Linked DNA regions of Drosophila melanogaster. The protein of the gene in region 3 interacts with the protein of the main gene of each other region in a pairwise test. Each region holds a gene or a part of one and is shown on either strand. Other genes may lie near its edges. The genes, in order: WASp, Cdc42 and Cip4.

Region 1 (6,150 bases), on a different chromosome or scaffold from region 3:
GAGACTAAAAATATGAGAAATGGATTGGTAGTGCCTTTCTGAGTGTCTTCAAAAGGGGCCAACTGCCTTAACCAGCCCACTGGTTGCATTACTTTGGCAGAGTTCAAATGCATTTGGAAATGTTTTGTCAATGGAAAGTTGCGAATTAGCAAAGCGTGAATTGCGAATCGAAATTAGCGATTTTCCCATGTTGTGCACACCATAATTATCCGCACAACGGCCGCCGTTAAATGACCACATTCCAAGTTTCCACTCCAATTTCAGGGCATTCTTATCGCACTTGGCATTGGCCGGTGATTCGCATTGGGCGGGCGGATTGATAAGATAAGGTTCGTCTGTATTTCGCCTCAAATACTATATGTACCCCCACTCTTATCACGACCCAATGGGCCAAACTAATGGTTTCTCTTTCGTTTCGCACCACAATCGGCTTTGGCACCCCAATACTACGAAGGAATAGAGTTGGAAATAAAAAACTAATCAAGAAGTGCAAACAACTGCGCTTGTGGCCTATCAATGCCGGCTCAAGCCGTTTGCTGATAGAGGCTCTAAGAAATGCTAGGTAAATATTAGTAATGTTAACAAAGTCTAACAAATTGCTCTAGTAACACTGGCCAGCACATTCGGACTCTGATCTGAATGAATATTATTTATTCCTTATATACTCCTAATTTCTTAATGAGCATTTAATACGAGAATAGTGCCCAATAAGTTGTAACCTACATATGTATGTATGGGCACCATAAAACATCTGTGTAACAATGATTCATCTTGTTTTTTTTTTGTATAGTACAGAGAACATTAATCTAAATGGTTATCTGCACTGACTCAAGTAGACTTTCCAGCAAAAGAGTATGTCTTTCAATCAAAACCAAAGCTAATAATGTGTACGATACTCCCATGCAAGTTTTATAGCTGACCAACTAACTATAGTGCATAGAACTCTAATTTTGTTCACAGTTTAGCTTCCGGTGCCATCTTTAAATGGGCAAAGAAACCATTCAACTATGTTGGGCAGTGTGCAAGTGAAATTTGGTAAATATGACAGGCAGCTGCCCGTAGACCGTAGAATGATATTATGATATAGGGTTACTGTGCTTCGAGTGAAATTCGCACACGATGGGCGACACTTGAGCCGCAGGAAGTGCTTCATCAAGCCGTGGGATTTGCTCGGCGAAGGCGGAGGAACACAAACCATGTCATTGCTTAATTATTAATCACCCGATTGGGGGCATTATGCATCATCAGTACTCGACTCACCTGGCACTTCTTGCCCAGCAGCTTGAAGACGGCCTCATTCTCCTCCTGGGTGAGCAGCGTACTGGCGGCATTGACCTTCGCCCGTGGACCGTCCTGCGACCTCATTCCGCTGCTCATCTGGCCGGTTTCGTTGGATCTGGGTCTGGTGCTGGATATGGGGATCTGGGCTGGTTTCCCTGCACAATACGGACACAATACGCATTTTATTGTGTGGCGAAAACAATACGCAAATGAACAAAAGCTAAATGTATTAATTTAATATCACAAAACGCTGGGGACCCCGAAAAAGTAAAAAGTTCATAACAATAAAGGCACACGGAGTAACAGTTGAACTTCGATAGAGTGAACAAAAGTTTGGGATCGTAGGGTTGACGATACAATATGAAAAGTTTGAGCTCCCATAAATATACTAAAGAGTTCAGAAACTGTATAATATTTAACGTTTAAATGAATTATTGCAGTCAACGCCTTCGAATATAAAAAGATAACTACACTTGGATAGGCTGCCTATTTTTTTGTACAGTGTACAGCTTGTAAAAACTCCGATCTACAGAGAGTTTGAGCAACGGAGTCCGAAGTGTGTTGCGAATAACCCGATTTGGGATCGAAGAATTATGGTTTTGGGACTGCTGAATCGATTGACAGTATTGTCTTTACGGTTTTGAATGGTTTTCAGCCCGAATTACGGCCAAGAGCGCGAGCGAGAGAGACCGAGACCTGCGCTGGCTATGACGATGTAGCTGGTTATGGTGTCGGCGGGGCTGCGAGCGGATCGCCTGGTCTGAGTCACGGTGCCCGAGAGTCGGAAATCAGAAGCAGAAACAGAAACAGTCAGCCAGCAAGCCAGCCAGCTGCGTTTGAATGTGGGCAAAAGCCAGGCCAGTGGCAAACTCTTCGAAAAGAGCCCTTATCTTTGGCGAAAAGCACTGATTAGGTGTGCGCATGTATCTATGTGTGATACATGCACAGTGGTCTGGGTTACTCAACATTCGGCACTCGCCACAAGCCACCAGCCAATCCACCCCACTGTGCGCCACTCCGTAGCTCCAAGATTTGTGACAACACCTGTCCGTCGTCGCGCCAGGTGGGGTGAAAATGCAAATGTAAATAGACAGACGCTGCTGCGGATTGGGAGTAAGTTCATGGGTTGGGTTGGTTCGGCTTGGATGGGATGGGATGATGTGCTGCCCTACTCAAGGTCTCGAATTTCCCTTGTGAGCTGCTCTGCTGGGGGGGTCGCCCATTGATTTTTTGCGTTTATTTTCGTGCACTGCTCTTCACTCTTTCGTTTTTTTCCCACACACAACACAACACACCACAAAATCTGTGTAGTCTCTGGCCTTGCGGATTCCGGGACTCTTATCGGGAGGCTCTACTGTGCGCGCGTCCGCGTCATCGAGTGCATGGCGTTGAAAACGAGTGTTCCTCGGTTGATTATTCGTCTGTTCCCGGACGCAATGCTAGTTTGTTTATTCATTTATTTTTTTTCACTCCAATTCAATTGCTGCCAGTGTGACCGACCGAAAAAGGCGATAGGCTAAAAATACTATCCTTTCGATAATTTCCTAAAATATGCATCAAGCTCTGCCAAGGCCCTGTGCAGACCATGCTCGAGACTTTTCAATTTTGCCCATCACTAGTTCCGCTTAAAAGTTTATCAAAAAGTTTCAGGCAATTCCGTTAAGAAATCGCGAGTGGAGAGCTGTGGGAATAGTATATTTTTTCATTTATGTTATCTTTTCCGTTAAATTTGATTTTGTTTACCACGCCCGTAAATTCGAATAAATATTTGTTCATCTGGCTTTCAAAATATGTTTTATTTTGATATAAATTATAATCGAGTAAATTCACATTGGTTTAATTTTTTGCTGACAAAAAGCATATTTCGATTTATTCATATTGAAAATGGTTAATCGCATTGAATCGGTAAAAACTAAGTCGCAAATGATGAGCTTAATGCATAAGCTGTTTCCTAAAACAGTTACCCTTAACTTGCTAAATTATATAAAAGAATACTTAAAAAGCAGTGACTAAAAAATGTGAATTTCTTCTCTCTTCAGATATTTGGTGTTTGCATAAGGAAGCCAGGGGCATATTTTAAACTTAGAGTATATTCTCAATAAAGATGTGCAACTATATGATTGTAATTGATTTCAGTAGCTCACCAGTTGGAGGACAGCTCATCTAACTAAGTGTTAAAAAAGTTAAATCAGAACAGACATTCGACTTGGTAAACCTTTCCTAGTTAATGCGACAATCGAATATATAGCATTTATATATATGCCAGTATACATTTTGTATATATTGGGTAGTTGTACACATGTTGAAAGGCCTGATTTTGTGTATATATATGCAATACATTTGGCTACACACGATCGGGAGCATCGGGAGCTTCCTTCTCTGACTGTGATTTGGATAAGTTGAAGTTACTAGGAGTTTGCGCTAACTCTATGCTAAACTGGTTGCTTACAAAGTTTTAGGGTCTACGTATAATGTATAAAGTAAAAGGAGAGTAAAATATGGATTACATAGCGTATGTATATTAACTCCTATCCTAAAAACTCTTTGATTTTGACTCTGACTCTAGCTCGGCTTGTGGATGTGGACCTGTGCGTGTTCGGTTCCTAAAAAATGCTTGACAAATACAGTCCTGTTCCTCTTACAATCTCCACTTCCGTTTTCGCTTTAACTTGGCTAATTTGTGATCCATACTATCCTGAACAAATTAACCCTCTATTTCCGCGCGCCCACCACTGGCAGCTTGGACTTGACTCCTCCAGCGGTGCTGGGGGTATTGTCAAACGTGGAGCTGCGCAGGAGCGTCGGCTTGGTTCCATTTGCGTTGAGCATGTTGGAAGATTTGGTTTTCTGCGTCCTCAGGTTGGATGACGATTGCTTGGTTTTGGCCTCGTCCACTCTCTTCCAGATGTTGGCGATACGACTTTGCGCATGGTTGATCTTGGCCGCAGCTGCTGCGGCTGCACTGCTTCCATTTAGGTTGGAGTTGCTGCGGGATGGTGGAGTAGTGGACGACACGCGGCCGGAGACCACACGTGAGGCAGCGTGAGATTTGCCCGCAGCTAGTCGCAGACTGGTGTTTGCCCTTTGAGGCGTCATTCGGCGGGCCGGCGCCAAGGGAATCCTCTTGGGAGAGCCCGCTTTCGATGGTGACCCACCGCTGGCCGTGCCTTTCTTTGTGGGTAACTTCGAGGCGCGGTGAGTGGGACTGGTTTGAGCCGGTTTTGTCTCCACCACGGGCACTTGAACATTGGAGTTAGTGGGCTCGTCCTTGACAAAGGTTCCCTGGCGTTCCAAGCGTGCGGGTGCCGGCTCAGGCGGCGGCGTCGGCTTCTTTTTCGCTGGTAACCTAACTCCTGAACCGCCGGGCACCAGACTTCGTTTGGCAATTGTTGGAGATAGGGTTTTCTTCTTGGACGGGGCGGCATTGTTGCTATTCCGTTGACTTTGCATGCTGTAGGGTGAGACATAGGCTGGTTTCTTGCGACCTCGCACCAGTTTTACGGCCGTGGCGGGCTCCAAGGTTGTGGGCTTAACGACTGATGTTCTAAGGTCCACAATTGACGGAGGAGGAGGCAGCTGATCCGGTTCCTGACCATCGCACGACTCCGTCTCAGAGTTCTGATCGCACTCCGGGGATTCCCCTGCGTCTTCTGGATGATCAGTACTCTCGCAAGTCTCCTGACTGTGTCCAATGTTAATGTCCGTGATGAAAGTGAACTGTTGCATCATTGCTCGAATTGAGGAGAGCTGTTCGCTTGGGCAATCATCGGGTTGGGGTTGTATCAAAGCCAGGGGACATTCAATCAGTTGGGTCTTGTACCGCTCCGCACTGCCCCTTCTCCTTCCATTGGCGCGTGGCGATGGCGTGGCCACAGGAACGGCAGCTTCCACAATTTCTATCTGCAAAGTTTCATTGGCCTCTGGTGCTTCCATCTCGCAGCTGGTGGCTATGGTGTAGGTCTTGAAGCGATCCTTTGTGAGACGTCGCTTGTCTTTCGGTGTGAGGGAACGACGATTGGGTGATGGAGTAGATCCGTGCTTGGGTGTGGACTCGGCCGAGCTGTAGTCATTCATTGTGGCATCCTCATCCTCGTCGAAACAACTTTGGAGCACGGTCATCGTCTGATCATCGCAAGCAGCCGTCTCATAGTTGGACACGGAAATGGTGGTGGCCATGCTGCAGTCCTGCTCGCCATCGGCCACCTCAGATTGAATGCTGTCCACACTGATCATCGAGTCCAGCAGCTCATCCATCAGTGACGGAGGCTTGATGTTGTCCAGCAGGTTGCAGCTGGAGTTCACGCTCTCCGCACTGCCAGCTAAGTGACCCAGTGCTCGTCTGGCTACCAAATTGGCTGGAAACATTTTTCGCGCGAAGCGTGGACTCTTGCTGGGCATCGCCTGGCGCAGAGAACTAGGCTGGGAGTGATCCTGGTAGCAGCTGTTCAGCGATTCCATTCCCGACGGCGGACGAATATTATCCAGATCCAAACTGTTCAAGCTGAAGGTCATCTCCGTGGTGTCATCGTCAGTGGCAGCGGGCTGGAGTAGATTTTCCGCCAGAGCTCGCGCTTCGAACGCAATCATGGTCGAGTTTGTCATAATGGAGGCACTAGTTCCATTAAATAATAGTCTTTGCGGCTCCAATCTAACGCCAGCATTCTGCACCTGCCCACCCAACTGGAAGTTAAGACCTCCAGACGATCCTGAGTAGCTATCAGCATGACCATTAACCAGGGTATCAGTTTCCCCTTCGAGCGATTCCGGTTGCTGTTCATTCGTGGGCGTTATCTCAATCAACTCGTGCAGGGATCTCGCCTCCGTGGCATCTTCATCCAAGCTCAAGGAGGCCAGAACCGGTGCCGTTTG
Region 2 (6,150 bases), on a different chromosome or scaffold from region 3:
CGCGTAGGAGGCCAGCAGCACGGACGCCTCCGGGCGGCAGTAGATGTCCATGGAGAGGATGCTCTGCTTGACCTGCAGGAAGAACAGGTGCTGCGTGATCTCCTGGATCAGCTCCTCGCTGACGTTCTCCGGAAAGAACTTGGCGTAGAAGCTAAACACATACACATTATTGCTAGCGTGCAGCTCAACGCGCTGGTCGCGCACCCGCTTCTCCATTTTCAGCCAGGACACGTTGCTGCGGGTGTCGACGTACTGCAGCCCAAAGTACCAAGACTCGCGCAGCCCGATGGTGCGGCACACCAGGTCGAACAGATCCTGGCCGGAGGCGCGCGGCTCCAGCTTGAACTCCAGCTCCGAGTCGAAGGTGCTCACCCGCACCGACAGGGATCGGTTTTTCTTGGAGCCGAAGGGGCTCATCGCGATTATGTGATGTGTTTTGATTAGATTCGACGCAATGTGATGTGATGCGTTAGATGCAATTGGATTGGAGTGGGAACTGAGTGCTCTTGTGGGCAATTCGTGATAACCTGTTGCGTGCAAAGGACTTGTTGCTCCTGCTAATCTGATTCTTGGTCCTTCTGGTGCTCCTGTGCCATCTAGTGGCACGATTCCTTGTTGCTGCTCCTGCGGTCCTCGCCTATCGCGGACTGCCTCATTTTGCAGCCAATTCGGTGCTCCGGGCAATGGCAATGGCAATTTGGGCTGATGGCTGTGAGCGGAAAGAAAGAAAGAGTAAGGCTCTTCGTTTATGCGGCGCTGCGATTTAAGAACTGCGTGGCCACGGCATCCTGGCGCCCACTATTCAACCGCTCACCCAGCTCCTTTGGCGTGGAAGCTGATTGAGGGTCGGCAGAAGGGTCTCCACATCGACCAAGTACGAGAATAGGCAACTTACTCGATTGTTTGCACCGCGAATCGCAATTGTACGACAAATTCCCGATATGCGCGACATAAACATAGACAGTGTGACCAGCCGTTAGATGCAGAAAAATCAGCTTTGGCAGACGCCTTGTATATTTAGTAGGGTGATTCCATTTCAATTTTATGGAGGAATCATAATGCTTAAATTAATCCATCTCAAACGACATAAAGCATTGAAATGTCAATATATGCACATGAAAACATATTAAATACCTTAAAAATATATTAACTTTCCATTTTCCAAAAGTTTTCAAAAACTGGCAAAACAGTGGTAGTCCAAATACCAAAATATACCGCAATATGTTTTTTCAAATTGTACACTCATTTTTAGTTATACGAATTTTTGAATGCTGCGAAATAGATTTGATCAGCTATTTGATGAAAGATGAATTAACTAAAATAACACAGTGCTATATAGAGTTGCCACCCTGTCAATGGTCACGAATTGGGAAAATGAAGTCCTTGAGCGCAATATTTGTTTTAAAGATTTGTCTAAGGATGAGATGTATTACTATGTAAATGTTTATTGGACGTATTCTTGTATTGCAGGTCCATGCTTAAATTCTCGGAATAAGCAAAATGACCATGTCAGCAGATGCGTATATAAACAATGAATAAGTCCAGCTTTCGTTTTATCAGGTCCCTGTAGCTTATTTTCCATCTCCACCGACTCAGCAATGAACTTGTACCCCCCTGGATATCGTATTTCATCGAAATAGGAAAATATAAAGATATGGAGGTTTTCTTACATTATTCTTAGAATAAATTATACATGCAGGATTATAAATACATATTGAAGGGATGGTAACCGATGAACATAGTTTATATATATTCATGTGCGTGTTTGGGGGACTCTTAGCTCAATTTATACTACTATTATTATGTGTATGCATCAGGGGTGATGCTAATGCCATGCAAGTAAACAATGCTTATCACACAAACGCAAGTGACTCCAGACACGGATATCCGAATCCGTGCGCAGAGAAGACTGAACGGAGGCGAATTACTTTGAACCTAGAGAGAGTGTTGCTGCAGATAACTCGTGTTGGCACTTAAATGGCTGTGCCAGGACTTGGACTCGCACACCGGAATCCATGATCACTAGCTACTGGCTGCTCCGCTTGATGCGCTCGACATGCAGGTCGTACAGCATCTTGTTCTTCTCGTAGTAAAATGGGTTTTGTTCGGCTCCCAGTTCTGGGTTGTATTCGTATCCGGCCGCCACACCGTTTCCGGCTGCATCGGACCCGCCGGATCCACCAGTCGCTCCTCCTCCCGACAGTGGCGGAATGCTGCAGCTGCTGCTGCTGCTGCTGTTCCCATCCTCGTAGTTCAGATTCAGGTTGTTGATGCGCTTCGAAAGGGGCGACTCGCAGGCCAGTTCATCCTCCCGGCTGCGCTTTCTGTGGAGGAATGGTGTGCGTTTGATTAGCGCTGGGACCTCACTACCTTGGTCAAGGTGATTACCTTGTCTTCAGGAATCCAGCCATTCCGATCCCGGGGCCAGTGCAGTGTGTTGGTTTCGGTTCCTATTGGTCAATTGTTTTGTCCTGCCCCGTTTCACAGCAGCGACATCCACCAGTGTGACTGCCTCGAAGTTCGAAATTGGCTGTGGGATATACCAATGGGTTGTGCTAAATATACCGCTAATCGAGGTTTGTTTTTTCTTAAATGGAAATCACAAATAGCCAACCCAAACAGCAGATATTGTTAAGAAAACCGAGATTATATTGTATCCAAACAAATAGAATATTTTTGGGAGGGAGGGATAAAGTGAATCTAAAAGTTGTCTCAGTGACAAATAGCGCCAAGTGAGAATATTTTATACCCAACAATTACTTCACGATGACACGATGAATACAGCTGCGGTTAAAATAATAACACTACTGCAGGTGGAAAGTTGATTTACCAAAAAAAATAATTAAATGTTTTATTTTTTTAAGTCAGATTGCATGAATAATAAGAACCATATGTTGTCTCTCTGAGCAAGAAATTTTTACTCTCTCAATGTAACGGTTCTTTTTGTTTTTGGGCACTTGCTGTGGTAACAAAAATAGCACCGATCACGTATTTGCTGAATACAATTAATAGGAGTGATTGCTTTGGGTTTTTTTTTCGACAAATTTTGAAAAAAGGAGTTGCAATAAAGGTTTTAATTGAATTTTTTCCAAACGAAGACAAAAAATTCTCTAGTCATGGGTCGCGGAAAGCATTGTACCGTCGAAAAAAGAAATTTGATTAAAAACATGATTTCTGAACGTAAAACCTACGCTGAAATTGGTCGCATTGTCGGTTGTTCAAACAAAATGATCCGCAAAGCACTGCTGTTTGTCGAAAAGAAGGAAACACGGCGAAGAGAGCCCTCAATGTCCAACGTGGAGATCAAGCGCTTGGTTTGGCAAAGCAAGAAGGAGTCTTTTAAGCCGGCGACGGAACTGAAGAAGGAGCTTCAGATAGCTGCAAGCGTGGAAACAGTTCGCAAACGCTTAAGACAAAACAACCTTAATGCGTGCAGCCCCAAAAAAGTACCGCTTTTGACTGTGAAGCATGTGGCAAAGCGAATCGAATATGCCAAGATACACAAGGACTGGCCTATGGAGAAGTGGTGCAACATTTTGTGGTCAGATGAGATCAAAATTGTGTTGTTTGGTGGGAAAGGCTCTCGGTCTTATGTTCGGCGTCCACCACGACGTCCACCACTAAATATAATCCTCGCTTCACCTTTAAGTCGGTAAAAAACGGGGGATCAAGCATCATGGTATGGGCGTGCTTTTCATGGTATGGAGTAGTTCCAATCCATTGGATTCAAAGCATCATGGATCAGCACATTTACTGTCATATGCCGAGGATGAAATGCCGTTGGTTTGGACATTTCAACAGGATAACGACCCAAAACACACGAGCAAGAAAGCTCAAAGTGGTTTGAGCAGAAGTAGATCCGAGTAATGAAATGGCCTGCTCAGTCACCCGACTTGAATCCAATCGAAAACCTTTGGGCGGACGTGAAAAAAGGGTTTCTGAAGCCAGACCCAATAATAACGAGGAATTTTGGGGTGTGGTCAAGGATTCAGGAAGCAAAATTCCTCAAAAACAGTGCCAGGACTTGGTGGAGTCCATGCCAAGACGATGTCCAGCTGTCATTACCAGCATAGGTCACGCAACCAAATATTAAGATTCTTTAAACATAGTTTTTAAGATATAATCCGTTTGTTTAAATTTTTTTAAAAATTTTTTAAAAAATTTTTTTATTTAGTTTTGGCAAACTACAAGAAACAGTGCTATTTTTGTTACCGCCTAAATTTGAAGGTTTTTTTTTGTTTTACCAATTATTTTATCCATTAGATCTGTTACTAATTTTTTTATTTCGATTGAAAATCATTGTAGTATTTAAGTTTAGTGAGTAAAATGATGAAAAAGTGTCAGAAAATACAGAAACACTGGGACAAACACGAAATCCGCTTATTATTGTTACCGCAACTGTATGCAGTATATTGGTCCCGCTCTGCCCGATCGGTCGGATATATAGCCCTTACAGTGACAGAGAACTTCCACCGAAAATACCAACATACCGATTGCGATGCAAGCCGGGTGGGAGTACTGCGACGGGATGGCAACGCCGCGCTAGTCACTCGCACGCAAAGAGCTCGCTGGAGAGAGAGAACGCTAACACAAAAGGAAATAGTAGTTTTCCGTACGTATCGAGCCCAGCCCAGAAAAGCGGAAAACTAAACGGATTCGACAGCGGTTGCAAATTTTAAATAACTGTAAGTAAGGCGGAAAAGGTGCCCGCAACGAGCATCCGCCGTATAGATCGCAACGCGTTTCAATTTGCCCAGTGAAAAGTGAATGAAAACCAAATGTCGATGACGGGCCTGCCTGCCTGTGTGTGTGTGTCATATGTGCGTGTGGTCCGTGCCGCAGTGTGCGTGTGTGATAAATAATTGCTTCCAAATTTCTTTAGTTTTTTGTCTGCAAATCTCGTCTAAAATCCGACTATAGCTAAAAACAGGGGGCAGCTCCAGCAGCTGACTGGGCGGCCAGTCCCGTGACCAAATAAACCATCATAAAGCCAGTAATAGTGCAGCAAAAACTGCATTAGACCAAGTGAACACGCACCGCACACACACAACCGCAAGCTGCCGTACTCGCTGCGCCCCTGCGCGCAAGTGTTTGCGTGTATGTGTGTCCAATCAGAATTTTCTGATGCCCGTCCGGCTTATCTGTGTGCGCCGTTGCTTTCCATTCTTTCCGTTCTTTCTTCGGCTTGAGTCATCGCTCATTCTGCCCAGATATGTACATATGTACATTGCACACACACTGCCGCCCCGCTCTCCTGGGCTCCGCTCCTCCTCGTTGATAAGGCGCCGCTGGCGAACGGTCACTCTGGCAGGAGTACGAGCAGGAGCAGGGAAGCCGCACCCACTAGTCATCCCCCCAGTGTAATCCGGCAAACTAACCCCCACTAATCCGCAGGAGTCATCACCCCTCTGCACAACATGCAAACCATCAAGTGCGTGGTCGTCGGCGACGGAGCCGTGGGTAAGACATGCCTGCTCATCTCGTATACAACCAACAAGTTCCCGTCGGAGTACGTGCCCACGGTGTTCGACAACTATGCGGTCACTGTGATGATCGGCGGTGAGCCCTACACACTGGGCCTGTTCGATACGGCCGGACAGGAGGACTACGATCGGCTGCGTCCGCTCTCCTATCCGCAGACGGATGTCTTCCTTGTCTGCTTTTCGGTGGTCAGTCCCAGTTCCTTCGAGAACGTCAAGGAGAAGGTACGTACAAGACTATTCTACGCCATGGCGAGACTGTAAGTGAGTCATTTTGCATTTGCAGTGGGTGCCCGAGATTACACACCATTGCCAAAAGACGCCGTTCCTGCTGGTGGGCACACAGATTGATTTGCGCGACGAGAACAGCACGCTGGAGAAGCTGGCCAAGAACAAGCAGAAGCCCATCACCATGGAGCAGGGCGAGAAGCTGGCCAAGGAGCTGAAGGCCGTCAAGTACGTGGAGTGCTCGGCCTTGACACAGAAGGGCCTGAAAAATGTATTCGACGAGGCCATCCTGGCCGCCCTCGAGCCACCAGAGCCCACAAAGAAAAGGAAGTGCAAATTCTTATAATTCTGCTTTCCTCACACGCGGTATCCCTTTCATTCTGGCTTTCTACTATCGCAATGACTCCTTCCCAGCCTCCCGTCGTCGAGAAGCATTCAATAT
Region 3 (6,150 bases):
AGATTGGGTATCCAATTAGAAAATGTAGGGTTTTCTGACAGGAACAATGTGTCAGTTGGTTTTAAAAAACCGGAATTTCGAGCTTATTTTCTGGTAGTTGTAAAATATTTGAGAAGTTTAATTGCATTTACCAAGTGCTTGGCAAAACAAAAATGTTTAATTAATTAAAATTGTGTGGCTTGCAATTTGTAATTTTTGATGAGTGCTTACAATTTCTTAATAAGACCAATGTTGTCGTTTCTATCTATATTTTAGGTTTGGAGCCTTTCAATATATATAGCCTATCTGAAGATAAGCGCCTCTTTAATATCCAAGAATATAGGAGGTAATGGAAGCTCAAAGAAGCTGGGGTCGGAAAAATCGAATTTTTGAAATTTGAAAGCTGGAATCGTTTGCCCATTTTTTGCCCATGTTTGCCCACCAATTAGTTTTTTTTGCCCACGTCCAGTTTTTGAGATATGAATTTTCGAAAAAGTTCGAAAATTTTCGAAAATCAAAAATTTCGCTTTTTTCAAATTTTTTTTTTTTAAATCGCAATAACATCGTTTGCCCACGTTTGCCCACCCTTTAGAATTTTGAAAAAATTTATACTTTAGAAAATATAAGGCTTTTAAGTTTACCTCGGTCTAATCAGAGAGTAAATCGTTTGCCCATCTCTTAAAACCAAATATTATCAACAAAAAACGTTTGCCCAACCATTATTATTAGTTTTTATCGTTTGCCCACCCTTTAAAAAACCTTTAACAAAAATTTTTTTTCGATTGCCCACACTTGAAATACAACTAATTTCGTTAGCCCACCTCTTCAAAATAAAACTTTTCAATAAAAAACGTTTTCCCACCATTTAAAAATAAATAATTTCGATTGCCCACCTTTTAAAACTAAATAATTTCGTTTGCCCATCCTTTAAAATTCATTTTTAACGTTTGCCCACCCTTTAAAATTTGTTTTTTTCGTTTGCCCACCTCTTAAAAATGGTTTTTTCGATTTTTCACCTATTAAAACTAAATTTGTACATATGTACATATGTAATAATTGTAAGATGTGGCGCCAAAAGCACAGTTACTTACAAAAGAACAGTTATTTACATATTTACATACATTTTCAATATATCCATAGTGTTAATCATTCATGAATTGTAACATCAATTTTTCTTAATCATTGTTTCATTTCATGGAAAATATTTTATTCCAGAATTTTCTTGAGCTTGGAGAGTGTTGATAAACATACATACATTTTTTTGCATATATATTATATTGCAATATAAAATATTTTCCATGAAATGAAACAATGATTAAGAAAAATTGATGTTACAATTCATGAATGATTAACACTATGGATATATTGAAAATGTATGTAAATATGTAAATAACTGTTCTTTTGTAAGTAACTGTGCTTTTGGCGCCACATCTTACAATTATTACATATGTACATATGTACAAATTTAGTTTTAATAGGTGAAAAATCGAAAAAACCATTTTTAAGAGGTGGGCAAACGAAAAAAACAAATTTTAAAGGGTGGGCAAACGTTAAAAATGAATTTTAAAGGATGGGCAAACGAAATTATTTAGTTTTAAAAGGTGGGCAATCGAAATTATTTATTTTTAAATGGTGGGAAAACGTTTTTTATTGAAAAGTTTTATTTTGAAGAGGTGGGCTAACGAAATTAGTTGTATTTCAAGTGTGGGCAATCGAAAAAAAATTTTTGTTAAAGGTTTTTTAAAGGGTGGGCAAACGATAAAAACTAATAATAATGGTTGGGCAAACGTTTTTTGTTGATAATATTTGGTTTTAAGAGATGGGCAAACGATTTACTCTCTGATTAGACCGAGGTAAACTTAAAAGCCTTATATTTTCTAAAGTATAAATTTTTTCAAAATTCTAAAGGGTGGGCAAACGTGGGCAAACGATGTTATTGCGATTTAAAAAAAAAAAATTTGAAAAAAGCGAAATTTTTGATTTTCGAAAATTTTCGAACTTTTTCGAAAATTCATATCTCAAAAACTGGACGTGGGCAAAAAAAACTAATTGGTGGGCAAACATGGGCAAAAAATGGGCAAACGATTCCAGCTTTCAAATTTCAAAAATTCGATTTTTCCGACCCCAGCTTCTTTGAGCTGGTAATGGACACCTTAATGATTCTGATCAAGCTAAACTACGAATTTGTTTTGATTTTTAGCTATAGGTATACATTCATACTCCTCAAACAAGCAGAACTATGTATTTGTTGCTTATAGGAACCCCCTGTTTTATCAATGAAATACGACTTCTTATCTGAAGATATAGCCCCTCTAAATCCAGGAAAAACTCACCCATAGCTCGGTGCCCCAACTCATGTTGTTGGAGTTTTGCGCTGAGTTTTCCGATTCGGCCAGTTTGTTGTTGCTGCTGCTTCTGCTCGATCCGCTTGCCACTGTATTTGTTGTTGCCGTCGTTGTTGTTGTTGTTTTAATAATAATAATCCACAGAAGATAATGTAATCCACAGACGATGAGGAGAGAGGGAGAAAGGTAGAAAGCGAGGGAGAAGAGCAAAAGATGAGAACTTTTATTCGTTTTTGTTTTATATTTTCCCGCAAAGGTTAATTAATTTTATGGCTGCTTTTTCGTTTTCATTTTCCGTTTGTTTTTCTATATTTTTTTCAGCGTTGCGCGGCGCGATGTTTAATTTTCTATGAAAGAGAGCAATTCGAGTCAGATATATTTCATTTTTGTTTTTTTTTTTTTCGGTGGTTGGGCAGGTAAGAAAGCATGTAAAAACAAAAAAGAGTGGCAATGCAGACGTGTCAGTTGCAGCGGCAGGTAGAAAAATGAAGTTGAAGGAAATTATAGATAATGAGAATTTAAACACTTTTTTTGGGAGTTGTTTAGTGATAAGTGCAAAATAAGAAAATTCTATGCACTGGCATTTCGATGCGCAAAGAGAGTGAGGAGAGAGAGGGAGCGATAGAGATAGAGAGCGATGCAACTGCATTTCATAATTGAGAAAAGCAGAAAGAGAGGACAATTGGAATTCTACTATTGTTGTATTTACATAATTTCGCACACACACGCACACAAGTAAACGCAATTGCCGAATGCACGCACTCTGCTTCTAGATCTGCCACCGTTTTTTTTTTTGTTATTTGTGCTAACTTTTTTTTTAGCATTTGCTTTGCAGTTGCAACTTCTTTCGATTTTGGGTTTTATTTAGCGCCTGCACTTTCGCATGCGTCATAATTCGGGCGACATTTGCACACACACACAAGCACACAGTTAAAACACCCGCACTCACACAACGCAAGCATTTGTTTCTCCTTTTTGGCGTGCGAAAAAACAATTTTATCCGCTCGCAACTTTCCGCTCGTTTTTTCACTTCGGCATCAATACACAGTGTGACCGCAATGTGTTTGAATAGGCACACCTCTGCGTTTGCAGTGTGACCAGAGACCGATGGCGACCTAATTTCTAACTCTTTAACATCTAGCGGGGATATGAACCCATATTGAGAGCAACTGTAAAGTTTAATTATTATTATATAAAATATATGAAACTTTCGTTAATACGTGCCCCCATTTTTTTTTATAATTTAACGTTAATTGTAGACTTTTTAAATATATTATTGTGGCCTTGAAAACTAATAATTTTATGGAATAACATAACGTTGAAACAGATGAAGAAAGCTATTATTGAGCTTGGAAGAAACTTCTTATTATTGTTTATTGCTTTTAAAGTAACAAGAGCATCGCTTATTGTTGTATATAATATATTAATTTGAACATTAAATTCACTGGAGCAATAGATTTTGGCACACTGTAAGGTGTAAGCATGTGCGCCAGGCGCTAGATCATTTTTAGTACTTTCCTTGCATCAGCTGTTAACACTATCAGCTGGTGGGTCAACAATTACATTAGATTTACTAACTTTTTAATGAATTAAAACTTGAGAGAAACAACGTTAATATAAGAAATTAAATTCCTTACCAGCTCATACAATTCACCGGTCACAATGCCTTCTTACGAACTAGCACTGGTGCTCCGCCAATTGCCTCGCGTGAGTAGCACATGAAATCCACCGGCAGTTACATAAAAGTAAATAAGAATTGTACACCGCCCGCAGCCCGAACTGATTTCCGTGATTAGGCGAACGGCCGAGTCCATCCTGGACAAGGGCGGCATTATCCGGAAGCTGGAGAACCTGGGATCCCGCGCCCTGCCCCACAAAGTCAGCGAACACGGGGTGGTTCACCGGGAAGGCACCCACTTCACCATCGCCTTTGATACGGCGCCCACTAAGATCGCAGACTTGAAGGAGGAGTTTGGCCGCGACATCGACATCATACGGCGCTACATCTTCAAGGTGGAGGAGCCCGAGCAGAAGCCCTGCACGCTGCACGAGGAGATGCTGCCACCCGCGTATCGCAAGGATGTGCAGGAGATCATTGCGGCCGCCCAGAAGAAGCAAAAGAAGAAGTTCAACTACAACTCCGGCCTGGACTACTATCCCTTCCAAAAATAAAACACCAAATAAAACGCGTTAATTATGTATGCTAAAACCGGTTGTGGGTTCCTCGATCTTTGGCTAATTCAAACTGAAGCATTCCTTATGAAATGCGCCTGTTATCTTAGTACTTTTCACAATGTTTGTCTTTGTTTGGTTTATGGCGCCCAATCGGACGCTTATCAATTAATTGATAAAGCTCCGTATAATCGACCATCAATAGAACGTAAATTGTCCAGGTAGTGCCTCAAGAATCGTCGAGCAGTTCACTAGTACTTCCTCCTGACCGCAAACGACCTAGAAATGTCACCGCAAATCCGTCCACTTACGCCAGAGCTGCAAAAAGTTGCCAAGGAGCAGCTCAAGGAGGATCCCGAACGTCTCGAAGCCGATCTGCAGGCGTTTAAGACATGGATCGAGCAGCAGCCGCATCTAAATCCCCGAATGGATGATCAGTTTCTGGTGGCTTTCTTGCGCGGCTGCAAGTACAGTTTGGAGCGGGCCAAGTCCAAGTTAGATAAGTACTACACGCTGAAGACCAAGTATCCGGACTATTTCCGAGTTACCAACACCACGGATAGCAAGTTCCGGGAGATTCATCAAACGGGGTAAGGATTTTGACGCCAGCTAACTAATTTAATTTATCAATGCAATTCTGTCAATTCAGTGCCATCATCTACCTGCCCACTCCGCTGAATGAAAATGGACCTCGCATCGGGATCTGGCGCATGGGATTGGTGCCAGTGGAGAAGTACACAATGCTGGAGTGCATGCAAGTGGCCCAGGCAATGCAGGAGATTGCCATTTTGGAGGACGACTACGCCAATGTCAATGGAGTAGTTTTCATTATGGACATGAAGGGTGCCACCGCCGCACACTTGTTCCAGATGACGCCGTCGATGGCCAAGAAATTCACTGTCTTCTCGGAGGAGGCACTTCCACTGCGTCTGAAGGCACAGCATTTCATCAACACCATCACCGGATTCGAGCAGCTGTTCAACATGTTCAAGCCAATGATGTCCAAGAAAATGCAGTCTCGCCTATTTGTGCACGGCAACAAAATGGGGCTCTTGACGGAGCAGATTCCACTGAAATATCTGCCCGAGGAATACGGCGGCGAGAATGGCACCACGCAGGACATCGTGGCCGCCATGGAGAAGAAGTTGGACGAGTACGCCGATTTCTTCCAGGAAAATGTGAACTTCGGCACCGACGAGAGCCTGCGTCCCGGAAAACCAATCGATTTTGAGGGGCTTTTCGGAGTAGAAGGTTCCTTTAGAAAGCTCAACGTGGACTAGTTTCAGTTTGTAACTTTAAAGATTTTATTTTCTTATCAGCCAGTTGAAAAAGTTGTCCAATTTAGTGGCTAGAAAACACATTCGCATCAGTTGAATTGTAAAATCCAATAGTAGGAATGATAATATAGGAATACATGAATATGCTACGATACTTCGCAGCAGTTTTAGGTTTCTCCTATATAAACATTGTCCTTTTAGCTTTTATTATCATCTGTAGAAGCAGATCTTTCGCTGCCATTTAGTTGGTGCGGATTTGAATATCTTTCTTCGGTCCAAAGACTCTTCCAGGTACTTTTGTATCTGAAGATCCACATCAGATCGCCACTTAAGTTCCAGGAAAAGAGGGAATATCTCTCCGGCTTTTTTCAGGCGTC

Evidence for each region.
Region 1: the proteins of Cip4 (region 3) and WASp interact in a two-hybrid assay, tested with the Drosophila melanogaster proteins (3 studies listed by BioGRID, with this or other methods).
Region 2: the proteins of Cip4 (region 3) and Cdc42 interact in a two-hybrid assay, tested with the Drosophila melanogaster proteins (one study listed by BioGRID).

What each region holds. Positions count from the first base shown.
Region 1 is NT_033777.3:28,829,242-28,835,391, forward strand, and holds the start of WASp (WASp), read right to left. Parts: upstream 2,784-6,150; 5' UTR 2,577-2,783; intron 2,073-2,576; exon of another isoform or gene 1,978-2,072; intron 1,900-1,977; exon of another isoform or gene 1,753-1,899; intron 1,437-1,752; 5' UTR 1,378-1,436; coding exon 1,261-1,377; intron 1-1,260. Other genes in the region: Apc (APC-like), read right to left, coding at 3,994-6,150.
Region 2 is NC_004354.4:19,692,541-19,698,690, forward strand, and holds the start of Cdc42 (cell division cycle 42), read left to right. Parts: upstream 1-4,550; 5' UTR 4,551-4,612; exon of another isoform or gene 4,613-4,685; intron 4,686-5,394; 5' UTR 5,395-5,417; coding exon 5,418-5,705; intron 5,706-5,766; coding exon 5,767-6,054; 3' UTR 6,055-6,150. Other genes in the region: Mer (merlin), read right to left, coding at 1-417; CG14229 (uncharacterized protein), read right to left, coding at 2,027-2,324, 2,389-2,411. UniProt on the Drosophila melanogaster protein: Regulates mbt kinase activity and is also required to recruit mbt to adherens junctions. Together with mbt and Frl, regulates photoreceptor cell morphogenesis. Together with Frl, has a role in the neuronal development of mushroom bodies.
Region 3 is NT_037436.4:4,360,715-4,366,864, forward strand, and holds the start of Cip4 (Cdc42-interacting protein 4), read right to left. Parts: upstream 3,261-6,150; 5' UTR 3,149-3,260; coding exon 3,034-3,148; intron 2,414-3,033; coding exon 2,313-2,413; intron 1-2,312. Other genes in the region: mRpS6 (mitochondrial ribosomal protein S6), read left to right, coding at 3,987-4,031, 4,098-4,496; CG33514 (uncharacterized protein), read left to right, coding at 4,782-5,086, 5,146-5,776; CG11342 (uncharacterized protein), read right to left, coding at 5,984-6,150.